Linked DNA regions of Oryctolagus cuniculus. The protein of the gene in region 1 purifies or fractionates together with the protein of each later gene. This does not show direct contact. Links are inferred from orthologs where the notes say so. Each region holds a gene or a part of one and is shown in the gene's direction. Other genes may lie near its edges.

Region 1 (3,394 bases):
GCACTAGGTAATCCTCCTGCCAGATTTTTCTAGTGCTACATCGGGGGTGCTCACCGCTAGGGACCCTGAGAGAGGGGAAGAGGAGAGTGCGGCCCACCGGAGTGCTCGGGCACCGGGGTCTCTAGTCTCCCGGACCCCCTCTTCTGGGTGTGCTGTTTCAGGGCCTGCTCGGAGGAGCAAGCGCTCTCACACTCTTCCTCACCGTGCAGGGCTCCCTCTCCTACCAAGCGCAAAGACCGCTCTGACGAGAAGTCCAAGGACCGCTCCAAAGATAAAGGGGCCACCAAGGAGTCCAGTGAGAAGGACCGCGGCCGGGACAAGGCGCGGAAGCGGCGCAGCGCTTCCAGCGGCAGCAGCAGCACCAGGTGGGGCGGGCGGGCCGGCGGCAGCCACAGCCGCCTCTCCACACGCACCTGCACGCTGGTGCCAGAGACCCCGGTGCCAGGCCGCTCAGGGTCTGCTCTGGGTGTACGGAGGGACGGCCTTTCTCCTTTCTGTGATGGCAGGGAGAGTGGTGTTGCGTGCGGCGTGTCCTGCGCTGCCGTGTGCTCACACTGCCCGGTCGGGAGCTTATCCTGGTGGTTGGAAACCGGCCCAAGTCAGTGAGCAGCGGCCTCCCGGGCAGAGCTGGCGGCTCTGGCTGCGCCGAGGGCCTCAGCGGGAGAGGCTTCTGTGCAGGCGGAAAGTGGCCGGGTCCTTTTGCCTGCCTCCAGGCGCTTGGGCAGGGGGCGCCTCCCTCAGGCGGGAGAGCGCAAGCGTGCAGACGCCCGGGGTCTGGTGGAGGAGCAGCTCCCGCCTGTTGCGGCGGTGACCCTTGGTGTCCTGCCTCAGGTCTCGCTCCAGCTCCAGCTCCAGCTCGGGCTCCAGCACCAGCACGGGCTCCAGCAGCGGCTCCAGCTCCTCCTCGGCGTCCAGCCGCTCCGGCAGCTCCAGCTCCTCCCGCAGCTCCAGCTCCAGCAGCTCCTCTGGCTCCCCGAGCCCCTCCCGGCGCAGGCACGACAACAGACGGCGCTCGCGCTCCAAGTGAGTAGGCCAGCCCGCGTGCCAGCCGGGCGGTAAACGCACCGAGTGTTTCTGTCCCGATAGGCTGTAAGCCGGGGTGACATGCATACACTGGTAGCAGAGTTTCCTTAGAAAGTGTTGGGTACGCAGGTAACTTCCACTAAAGGGAGTCCAGTGCGTTTTGAATTGACAGGAATTGTTTGTTGTGGTGTTTCATTGTCTTCCTCACTCAGATCCAAACCCCCTAAAAGAGATGAAAAGGAGAGGAAAAGACGGAGCCCGTCCCCTAAACCCACCAAAGTGCACATTGGGAGGCTCACCAGGAACGTGACCAAGGTGAGGGTCCCGGAGCCAGGCGGGACCGTGGGGGGTGCGGGGGTGCGGGGCTCGGCAGAGCTCTGGCTGACTCCGGAGTGTTACACAGGCCTCGGAGGCTGATCGCAGGATGAAGTAATGGGTGGTTGAATGAGCTTTCTTTCCTCCAGGACCACATCATGGAGATATTTTCCACCTATGGGAAGATTAAAATGATTGACATGCCTGTGGACAGGATGCACCCCCACCTGTCCAAAGGCTACGCCTATGTGGAGTTTGAGAACCCGGACGAGGCCGAGAAGGCACTGAAGCACATGGACGGAGGTCGGTGGCCCTGCTGGCGCGCTCCGGCCTCTGAGCCCTCCTGGGAGCTCTGGGGTTCCAGTGCGGGTGTGCTTACCAGAAACGTGTTTTTGTGGCACACTTGGTTTGGAAAAACATCCCACAATATGAGTGTATCAGCATTTTAGGGAACTTTCCATCTGTTAAAAGCTTAAATATCAGACAGGCTATACAGATATGCTTGGCTTTTCTCATTCTTTTAAGATTTATTTATTTGAGAGACAGGCACAGAGAAAGAGCGAGGTCTCCCATGTGCTGTTTGACTCCTCAGCCACCGCAGCCAGGGCCGGGCCAGGACCCAGGGACTCCATCCTGGTCGCCCGTGGGGAAGCAGGGGCCCAAGTACTTGGCCACCATCTGCTGCTTTCCCGGGCATGTTGGCAGAGAACTGGGTTGGAAGTGGAGCAGCCGAGACTGAACTGGCAACTGTGCGTGGGATGCTGGAGGTTGTAGGCTGTGGTTTCACAAACCTCTCCGCCATAGTCCAGCCCCTGTTGGGCTTTTTATTTCCTTTTCATTGCTTCTGAGTCATTTTTTTGTTTGCCAGTATTTTTAGGATTCCTTTGTTGAGTGGTAGGTTTGCTGAAATCACAAAACTTACTCTTAAATACTTGTGGCCTTCAGCTGCTTGTGATGTGTAGAGCTGTTTGTGTTGAGCAGAGTGTGTTGCTTGATTTTTTTTTTAAAGATTTATTTATTTGAAAGAATTACACAGAGGAGGAGAGGTGCGGAGAGAGGTCTTCCATCCTCTGGTTCACTCCCCAGTTGGCCACAACGGCCGGAGGTGGGCCCATGTGAAGCCAGGAGCTTTTTCCTGGTCTTCCCATGCAGGTGCAGGGGCCCAAGGATTTGGGCCATCTTCTGCTTTCTCAGGCCATAGAGAGCTGGATCAGAAGTGGAGCGGCTGAGTCTTGAACCCTTTTGGAAGGTGCCGGCACTGCAAGGGGTGGCTTTACCCGCTACACCACAGCACCGGCCCCGAGTGGAGTGTGTGTGTTTTTTTGTTTGGTTTGGTTTTTGTTTGTTTGTTTGACAGGCGGAGTAGACAGTGAGAGAGAGAGACAGAGAGAAAGGTCTTCCTTTGCCGTTGGTTCACCCTCCAATGGCTGCTGCAGCTGGCGCACCGCGCTGATCCGAAGCCAGGAGCCAGGTGCTTCTCCTGGTCTCCCATGGGGTGCAGGGCCCAAGCACTTGGGCCATCCTCCACTGCACTCCCGGGCCACAGCAGAGAGCTGGCCTGGAAGAGGGGCAACCGGGACAGAACCGGCGCCCCTACTGGGACTAGAACCCGGTGTGCCAGTGCCGCAGGTGGAGGATTAGCCAAGTGAGCCGCGGCGCCGGCCTGGAGTGGTCTTTACAGCACATGAGTAGTTGTGGATGACCATTTTTGTGTTGCCTTTCAGTCGGCACGGTAAGGAATGCCGGGCTTGCCTCTGCCCAGCTTCCTGCTTGCTGTAGTTGGGCTGGGGCTGAGTTCGGCAGCCCACAGGGAGGAGAGGGAACGCCTGAGTAGCTTCCCAGTTTCTGTGAAAAATCGCCTGTGGGTATTAAGTTCTCCCAGTACTTAGCCAGCTTCTCTTTCAGTTGACTTGAATCCCTCTGGAGTGTTCTGGGAACTCCGTGTGAACTGTGTCGCTCCCACCTGCTTCTGGCCTTGTGATTTGCCTCTTCGCTTCAGAGTCTGCAGTTGGCTGGCGTTTGAGACTGGGGAGGCTGGGGCTGTGTGTGTGTCCTC
Region 2 (4,129 bases), on another chromosome or scaffold:
CAATGGCCGCCGCGGCCGGCGCGCTGCGGCCGGCGCACCGCGCTGATCCGATGGCAGGAGCCAGGAGCCAGGTGCTTTTCCTGGTCTCCCCATGGGGTGCAGGGCCCAAGCACCTGGGCCATCCTCCACTGCACTCCCTGGCCACAGCAGAGGGCTGGCCTGGAAGAGGGGCAACCGGGACAGAATCCGGCGCCCCAACCGGGACTAGAACCCGGTGTGCCGGCGCCGCTAGGCGGAGGGTTAGCCTAGTGAGCCACGGCGCCGGCCACACATTCAGGAAGTTTAACACCTGCTTGTTCTACTTTTATGCCATCTTTGTGAGTGGTGTTTTATGACTCTAAAGAGCCAGGAATTAGCTGTGTCCAAGAACTCTGGTACAGTGTATGCCCATGTAAATTTCACGAATAATACTATTCCTCTAATTACTTAAGGGTTAAATTGAAGATAAGTACTTGAAAAGAAGTCGTGTTTTTGGAATTAAATGCCACAAAATTTCTGTGTTTTAGCTAGAAGAACTACACCTCTTTTGGAATATATTAAAAATAGAAAATTGGAAAAGCAGGTAGGTCTGGCCCTCTACCTGGTGAGTGTCCTTCCTTCCTGGATCTGCCATTTCCATGCAGATGATTCATACTCATGTTTTTCCATGGATGCAGAGAATTCGGGAGGAGAAACGAGAAGAACGAAGGAGAAGAGAGTTAGAAAAGAAACGCTTGCGGGAAGAAGAGAAAAGAAAAAGAAGAGAAGAGGAGAGATGCAAAAGAAAAGAGGCAGATAAGCAAAAGAAAACTGCAGAGAAAGAAGTAAAGATTAAGGTAATTTTGGAGAAACATTCCATTTCTTTTTTCTAGGAATAGTTTTTCTAGGGAAGCAAAGGATTTTCTGTAACATAACTTCTCCCGTGGAATTCACTAGTGATAGAGTGAACAGTTCCTGAACAGTAACCCTCAAAAAACACACGACCATTTTCCTCGTGCAAGCCTGGCCAGGCTGTGCTGCAGGAGCTTGCAGTCTCAGGATCTCTGGGTCCAACCAAACTGCAGTTTGTTTCTTGCTCATGTGTCTCTTCTGCAGCAGTAGATGGCTTGCAGTGGTCATCTGGTGACCCAAGCTGATGGAGGCTCCATCTTGGCATCTGCTGTCAGTCTTTGTGACAGGAAAGGGATGTGTGACTTGGAAAACGGCACACAGTTCTCAAAGCTTGCAAGAGGAGGTGCCATGTGTTTTTTCTGCCCATGCCAGTCATATGGCTTTCCAAGGAAGCCGGGAATAACTGAGCAGCACTAATAAACAACACTGTTTCTTAAAATGTTTCTGTCTTCAAAACTTAAGAGGGAATAGAATGTCATTCAAGCACATTTGCTTCAGAGATAAAAGATACAGATGTGCAGGAGGAATAGATAAAGCATCTGTCCCTAAAACATTCGTCTGTAACAGTTTAAGTTTGCTTTGATAAGAATTGTGTAAAGATCTATGTGGTTTTAAAATTGCATAATCTGATAACATAGGTGAAATTCAGGAGCCCAACCAAGGCTGTTAAATAAAGGTGGTCGATCCCTTGTTGGCAAGGAGAGGGGCTGAATGGACAAAACCAGGCTTTTCCTTGGGAAGCAACTTCGAACCCTTCTTTTTCTGTGTCCTTGCCTCTTTGATGCACAAACACAGCTCTCCATAACCAAAGTATAGCAAACGGATTTCTTCTAACAAACATGTTCTCAAAAGTAAGAACTGACAGTCCTTGAAAGACAGCTAATAAATCTAGCTCTGTCACTTCCTGCTCATGCACCAGGAGTGACCTATTTGTAAATATTACGGTCACTGGCATGCAAACATCATCTGATCTCATTTTCGTTTCCCTTTCCAGACGAGACCAACAGCTACCCCAGTGCCTCATGCTTTACATTCTCAAAATCACTTGTCAGCAGCTTCTTACTGACAGTTTTCAGAAAGAACCATTGAAACTTATAGCCCATGTCAACTATAATTTCAAGTAGAACTTTTGGGGTATAGCATTTTAGTTTTATGTTTTTTTAAAGAATGAAATTAGAATCTAAAATAAGTCAAAGAAATGAAACAGATTTAAGTCAGTAAAAGTAAGTTCAGTGTCCTTCACAAAGAAAAAAAAATCAGAATAAACGTAGCATGAGAAAGAGCTGATTTCATCCAAATCTGGTAAAACAAACTCTAGGTGGCAGATCGGAGGCAGCAACAGGGAGCAACCAACCCTGGCTTCTGCCCTGAGTGTCTGGCACAGTGGCCAAACATGACATTTGAGATTCAGGTCGTCCAGCCCCAAGCTTAGTTTTTGATAAACATCTGTGCTCAACTTGGGGATCTGTGACCACAAGTCATTCAGAGAATTTAAATTATTAAAAACAAACAAACAAAATGTGTGGAGCAATATGCCGACAGATGAAAGGCAGAGATGTGGAGCATGTCCTCGTGACCAGTCCTAACTGTAGGAGCGACCCAGCTGTTGAGTTCCCCCTGAGAACTCTGAAACTGTGCTGTGAGCTTAAATTAGAAGTGAAATTCCAGAACGTACAAGTTAAAGGCTAGACAACATCATCTAGGAAATTGTGTGATCTTTTTCATGGAGTGCTTCAAAAAAGATGTATGTGTCTGTGATGGGTTGCACATTATATAGTGTGTGACCAAGTTACGAGCATAGGCAGGGCTTTGTGTGTGACCAGGTTACATGTATATAGTGTACACACATATGAAGGTGTATGTGTGTGTGAGAGTGAGGTACATGTATAAGCATAAGCACATACAAGGATTCTGTGTATATGACTGGGTTACACGTAAGTAGTGTAAGCACAGATGAGTCATGTGAGTATGGGTTACACATACGTAGTGTAAGGAAAGATGAGGTGTGTGTGTGTGACTGAGGTACATGTATGAGCTTGAGCACAGACGAGGGTGTGTGACCAGGTTACGTGCAGACATGGATGCTGGGCGAGAACACACCTGTCAGTAGCTGTTCATCTCCTGATGACCTTGTGGCGCTCCCACACATCCACTCCACCTTCTTCTATGAGTGTTCCTGGCTCATCTCCAGCTCTCTTGCTTGATGAATTTTTTTCAAGTGCACCTGCTGTTTTCCTCAGGCTTCTGTGCCTACTCCCTCCACCCAGATATGCTGTGATGCCTTCTCATCTAGCCTCAATTTCCACCTTGTTCCTGTGGAGCCCTCCAGCTCCTTCTGTTGCCCTCATCAGTGTCATGTCCTAACTTGTGAGGCCTGAGCTGGCCCCAGGCAGATGGTATCAGAGGCACAGAGTGAAGATTGTGGGTACAGAGTCATTTGTTGGATGAGTGCAGGTGGAGACTTGGACCTACCCAGAGCTTGCATTTATTACAGATGTATTGCTGCTGTCAGAGAGAGCAGTGTACTCGCTGAGGGGAAGGTCAAATTTAGGGAGTCCACACAGGATTACAATGCACTCACGTGATGAGAAACAACTTCTAGTGTTTTCCTCAACTTACGTCTTTTTTGTTTGTAAGTGAACTCATTTAACTGAACATAACTAGTTTTGCTACACTGAAATTTAAAATATGTTCAATTTTATGAGAATAAAATTCCCAGAAGTGCATCTGCTGGCTCTATTCTACAAAGGATTCTACCTGTACAGGCCCTGATGCAAAGACAGTCAAATTAGATGTGTCCCAGCATCTTGCTGCACGTGCTGTAAGAAAGAGGGTCATAAGTTTTGAAAGCTGTAAAGTGTCCTAAAAGCCATCTACCTAAAGCAACTTTTTGAAAAAAATTACAGAAATAATACTTGTTTATTTTAGGTAAACTAGAACCTGTGGTGAAGGAAAGAAAATCCTCAGAGACTGGTAGTCACTGTTCACACCATATACAGAGAGCCTTTCAGACAGTTCTCTGTGTGTGTACCTAGATAAGTCACAGCCTCGTAGGACATTGTGATCCACAACAGATGGTGTATGCAGTGGAGGCCCTGTGAGACCACATGGCCTGGGGATGGCGCAGCTTGTGTCTGTACGAGCACACTCTGTGGTGTTTGCATAACATGACTGCCTAGGGACATGCATCCAGAATGTTGTTAAATGGCATACAACTGTGGATGCATTAACTTTCACATTGAAATTGGAAAATTGTGAA
Region 3 (4,129 bases), on another chromosome or scaffold:
GGGAGGAGAGCCTGGTCCCCCCACCCCCGCCTCTCCTGCTGCCCAGGCAGCTGCACACCTCGGCTCCTGGGCCAGCCTCAGCGTGGTGTCTTCAGTCTGTCCTCTGTCCATCCCCACGTCCTCTCCCTCTGCCCTCCCCTCCTTCCCCTTCGAAGGACCCTCGGCTGCACCTGGAGGCCAGGGCCGTCCCCCAGCCCTGACCCTTAACCCAGTCCCAGTCTGCAAAGCCCCTTGGGAAGTAGGGACCAGACGCCCAGCTCCGGGGCTTGGGATGTTGGCACCTTGGCCACTGCCATTCAGCCCACCACAGTTCTGTTTCCTTTTACCATCTATTGTTCATTTGAGAGGCAGAGTGACAGAGTTCATAGAAAAATGGAATTAAAAGGTCAGTTTGTTTTGGTGCAAATGTTTTTGGAATTAATCCGTACTTTTTTCACAGTAGACAGTTTGGAGCAGTGTATCTTTATGTAAAAGGCAGAGGGGCCTGGGAAGGCAGTGGAGGAGGGCCCACGTGCTTGGGCACCTGCTTCCCGTGTGGGAGACGTGGATGGAGCTCCTGGCTCCTGACCTTAGGCTGGTGCAGCCCTCACTGTTGTGGCCATGCGGAGAGTGAACCAGCAGATAGAAGACCTCTCTCTCTCTCTCTAACTCTGCCCTTCAAATAAATAGGTCTTAAAAAAATATACTAAGGCAGAGTCATAGACAAATAGATCTTCCATCCACCGCTTCATTCTTTAAATGCCTGCAGCCGCCAGGCCTGCGCCACGTGCCTGGAGCTCAGTCCAGGTCTCGCAGGTCGGGGCAGGGATGCGAGTCCCGGGTCCAAAATGGCCTCGCCGTCGCCCGGCTCTGCGCTCTCCTCGCCCCCTTGGCTTCCCGGCGGGGAACCCGGGAGCTGAGCGTGCTCCGTGAACGCGCTCCAGCAGGGGCCGCTGCCTGTCTGCAAGGGCCAGCACACGCCTGTGACCCAGCGAGGGCAGCGCCAGGTGGGACCGGGCCACACTGCCGCCCTCTGGGGAGCAGCAGGCATGGGGGAGCCGTGCGGAGCGGGACGGCACTGACTGCCTGCACCCGCGTTGTGTGGCCGCAGGGACAGCATGGACAGCGTGAAGCAGAGCGCGGCCCTGTGCCTGCTGCGGCTCTACAAGGCCTCGCCTGACTTGGTGCCCATGGGCGAGTGGACGGCCCGCGTGGTGCACCTGCTCAATGACCAGCACATGGTGAGGCCCCCCCCCCGCCCAGCTGCCACAGACCCTGCGCGGCCCTGCTCCAGAACGCCCGCCGCCACCCGCGGCCCCACCAGGCTGCCCAGCGGCCCTGTTCCCAGCCCCTTGTCACCACCCCCACCCAGCCCCTCAGGGTTTGAGACGCTTCTGCCACCTGGAGCTTCCCGGCCCCGCAGCAGAGACCGCTGTCACCCGCCGGCTCTGCCCTCAGGTGTTGTCTGCCCCCTGCAGGGCGTGGTCACGGCCGCCGTCAGCCTCATCACCTGTCTCTGCAAGAAGAACCCCGACGACTTCAAGACGTGCGTCTCCCTGGCTGTGTCGCGCCTGAGCCGGGTACGTGCCATCCCGGCGCCGGCCTGCGAGGTGGCCCTGCGAGGTGGCCCTGCGCCGCTCTGCTTGCCCTCCCCCGCAGCCGCTTCCTGGCTGTGTGGCCCTGGGCAGGCGAGAGGGCAGGGGACTCGGTCAGGGGGCCACACTCAGGGCCGTGCGTGCTGTGGTGGCCGGAGGCACAGGAGCCCAGCTGGGAGTCCCAGAAGGCTTCCTGGGGGAGGCGCTCCCTTCACAGAGGGTGGAGCACAGGGCAGTGGAGTAGGTGGGGGACACCCAGCGCCTCCAGCCCTCACCCTGATGGCTCCCGGCCAGGGGCCTGGAGACACTGGTGGGTGGGCAGTGCCGTCACGGGGCGCACAGAGGAGGGGTTTTCCCGGTTGGAGAGGAATTCACTGTGAGCAGAGGGAAGTCCCGTGAGCTCTTTGTGTCTCAGTGCGTCCCTAAATCCTGCTCCGCCCCATCCAGCGTCGGGCCCAGGGGCCTGGTTCCTGCCTCCAGGGAGCCGGGGCCATCAGGGAGGCCCCCGTCGTCCGTCACGAGGAGTGGGCCTGGGCTTGGCGCTGGGCCTCCCGCCTGCAGCCGCACGTGGAAAACCAGCCACGTGCAGGCCCAGGCGCAGCTCCACCCTCTCGGGGACCCTCAGCCCGGCGCGCGCAGCCTGCCTCTCGCCCACAGCGTGGGGGCCCCTGCCCACTCCTCACGCCTTCTCACCCCAGATCGTCTCTTCGGCCTCCACCGACCTCCAGGACTACACGTACTACTTCGTCCCGGCGCCCTGGCTCTCGGTGAAGCTCCTGCGGCTGCTGCAGTGCTACCCCCCGCCAGGTACCCCGGGGCGCTCGGCTGCGGACGTTGACGAGGATTTCTGTCCAGCCAGGCTGGTACCTGCGGCATGGGCAGGGCAGGGCAGGCGGTGCTGACCTCAAGACTGCACGGCACCCAGCAGCAGGCGGAGAGCTGGGCCCTGCTGCCCGGCTCCCGCCCAGCCCCGAGGCGAGGGGTGGCGACCCAGGGGCCAGGGCTGGGATCGGGCATCGCAGCCAGGCCGGCCCGCCGGTCAGTGGGCTGTTTGAGGTGGGGCCTGTCCCTGAGGGGCTTCCTCCCAGCCCACAGTCAGGACAGGTGGCAGCGAAGTTCCCACAGCGAGCCAGGTCTATGCTTGCCGTCCGCCCCTCCCCGCAGAGCTGAGGCTCGGACCCTGGCGCAGTCCGTGAGTGGCCCAGCCCGGTCCTGGAACCTGCTCAGCACCCTTCCCTGCGGCGGGGCCAGGCCCCGGGCTCCGGCTGCCCCGCAGTGCAGCTCAGCACCGAGCGCTGGGACACGGCATACGGCGCCTGCCGACAAGCCGTTCCTTCTCGTGTGTGGCACTGGTCTCCCCTGCCAGCCGCATGTGCAAGTGTGTGTGCACACGTCTGCACGCGTGTCTGCCTGTGTGCCTGGGCATCCCCCGTAACAGCTCAGGAGCTCGGGGACCTGAGAGGCCCCTCCCAGCCGTGGAGCCGTGGCAGGTGCCGTGTGGCCTCACTTCCGCTGTGGGCCCGGGCAGCACCTCGCGTGTGGGCACGGCCCGTGTGGCCTTGCAGCCAGGCCGTGGGGCTGCTCCCGTTTATTTCCCGGGAATCTTGTTCCCAGAACCCAGACAAGGAGGGCGAGCCCACGGCCCGCGCGCCCCACTGGCCACAGATGCCACTCACGGATTCTTTCCTCCAATACTTAGGACGAGTAAATCACAGATACCGTGTTTTACCTTCAAATATTTTTTAAAGATTTATTTATTTGAATGGCAGAGTTAGAGAGAGAGAGAGAGAGAGAGAGGTCTTCCATCCGCTGGTTCACTCCGCAGATGGCTGCAATGGCTGGAGCTGGGCTGATTCAAAGCCAGGAGCCAGGAGCTTCTTCCAGGTCTCCCACGTGGGTGCAGGGGCCCAGGGATTTGGGTCATCTTCTACTGCTTTCCCAGGCCATGGCAGAGCCGGCTCGGAAGTGGAGCAGCCGGGACTCGAACCAGCGCCCATATGGGATTCCGGTGCCACAGGCAGTGGCTTTACCCTCTGTGCCACAGTGCTGCCCCCCCCCCCCGCCCATTAGCTTCTGCACCGCTGTTTATAATGAACATTTTCAGACATAAAGGTAACTTGACCCAGCTTCCTGCCAGTGCGTTCTGGGAGGCAGCAGTGGTGATTCAAGTGCCTGAGCCCCCGCCACCCGCGTGGGAGACCCGCGTGGGAGACCCGCGTGGGAGACCCGCGTGGAGCTCCAGCTCCTGGCTTTGACCTGGCCCTGCCCCAGCTACTGTGGACATTTGGGGAATGAACCAGTGGATGGAGACCTGTCCTATCTGTCTCTCTGCCTTTCAACCACCATTCTAAATAGAGGTCGCTGAGACGAGTAGAGCAGGCGCCAGGCCCCTTCTTCCCGACTCCATGGTGGTTGTTAGCACTTTGCTGGGTTTGTACCGGGGTCTGCCCCCAGCCCCCTCAGGCAGTGAAGCACAGGTGCCACACCCTTCCCCTCCCCTCCCCCCGCGTCTCCTAAGACCACTGCTAACCCAGAGGGACCCCAGGAACCAGCAG

What was found. The genes of interacting proteins can lie anywhere in the genome.
Region 2: the proteins of RNPS1 (region 1) and UPF3A purify together in Homo sapiens (co-immunoprecipitation; 4 studies listed by BioGRID and IntAct, with this or other methods). This does not show direct contact. The link is inferred for Oryctolagus cuniculus from reciprocal best matches to the Homo sapiens genes RNPS1 and UPF3A.
Region 3: the proteins of RNPS1 (region 1) and AP2A1 purify together in Homo sapiens (co-immunoprecipitation; 3 studies listed by BioGRID and IntAct, with this or other methods). This does not show direct contact. The link is inferred for Oryctolagus cuniculus from reciprocal best matches to the Homo sapiens genes RNPS1 and AP2A1.

The regions. Positions count from the first base shown.
Region 1 is NC_091450.1:33,012,929-33,016,322, forward strand, and holds part of RNPS1 (RNA-binding protein with serine-rich domain 1), read left to right. Parts: coding exon 1-7; intron 8-209; coding exon 210-365; intron 366-831; coding exon 832-1,023; intron 1,024-1,235; coding exon 1,236-1,338; intron 1,339-1,487; coding exon 1,488-1,641; intron 1,642-3,394. UniProt on the Homo sapiens protein: Part of pre- and post-splicing multiprotein mRNP complexes. Auxiliary component of the splicing-dependent multiprotein exon junction complex (EJC) deposited at splice junction on mRNAs.
Region 2 is NC_091440.1:47,446-51,574, reverse strand, and holds part of UPF3A (regulator of nonsense transcripts 3A), read left to right. Parts: intron 1-506; coding exon 507-562; intron 563-656; coding exon 657-815; intron 816-4,129. UniProt on the Homo sapiens protein: Involved in nonsense-mediated decay (NMD) of mRNAs containing premature stop codons by associating with the nuclear exon junction complex (EJC) and serving as link between the EJC core and NMD machinery.
Region 3 is NC_091449.1:7,751,472-7,755,600, reverse strand, and holds part of AP2A1 (AP-2 complex subunit alpha-1), read left to right. Parts: intron 1-1,090; coding exon 1,091-1,220; intron 1,221-1,457; coding exon 1,458-1,559; intron 1,560-2,272; coding exon 2,273-2,381; intron 2,382-4,129.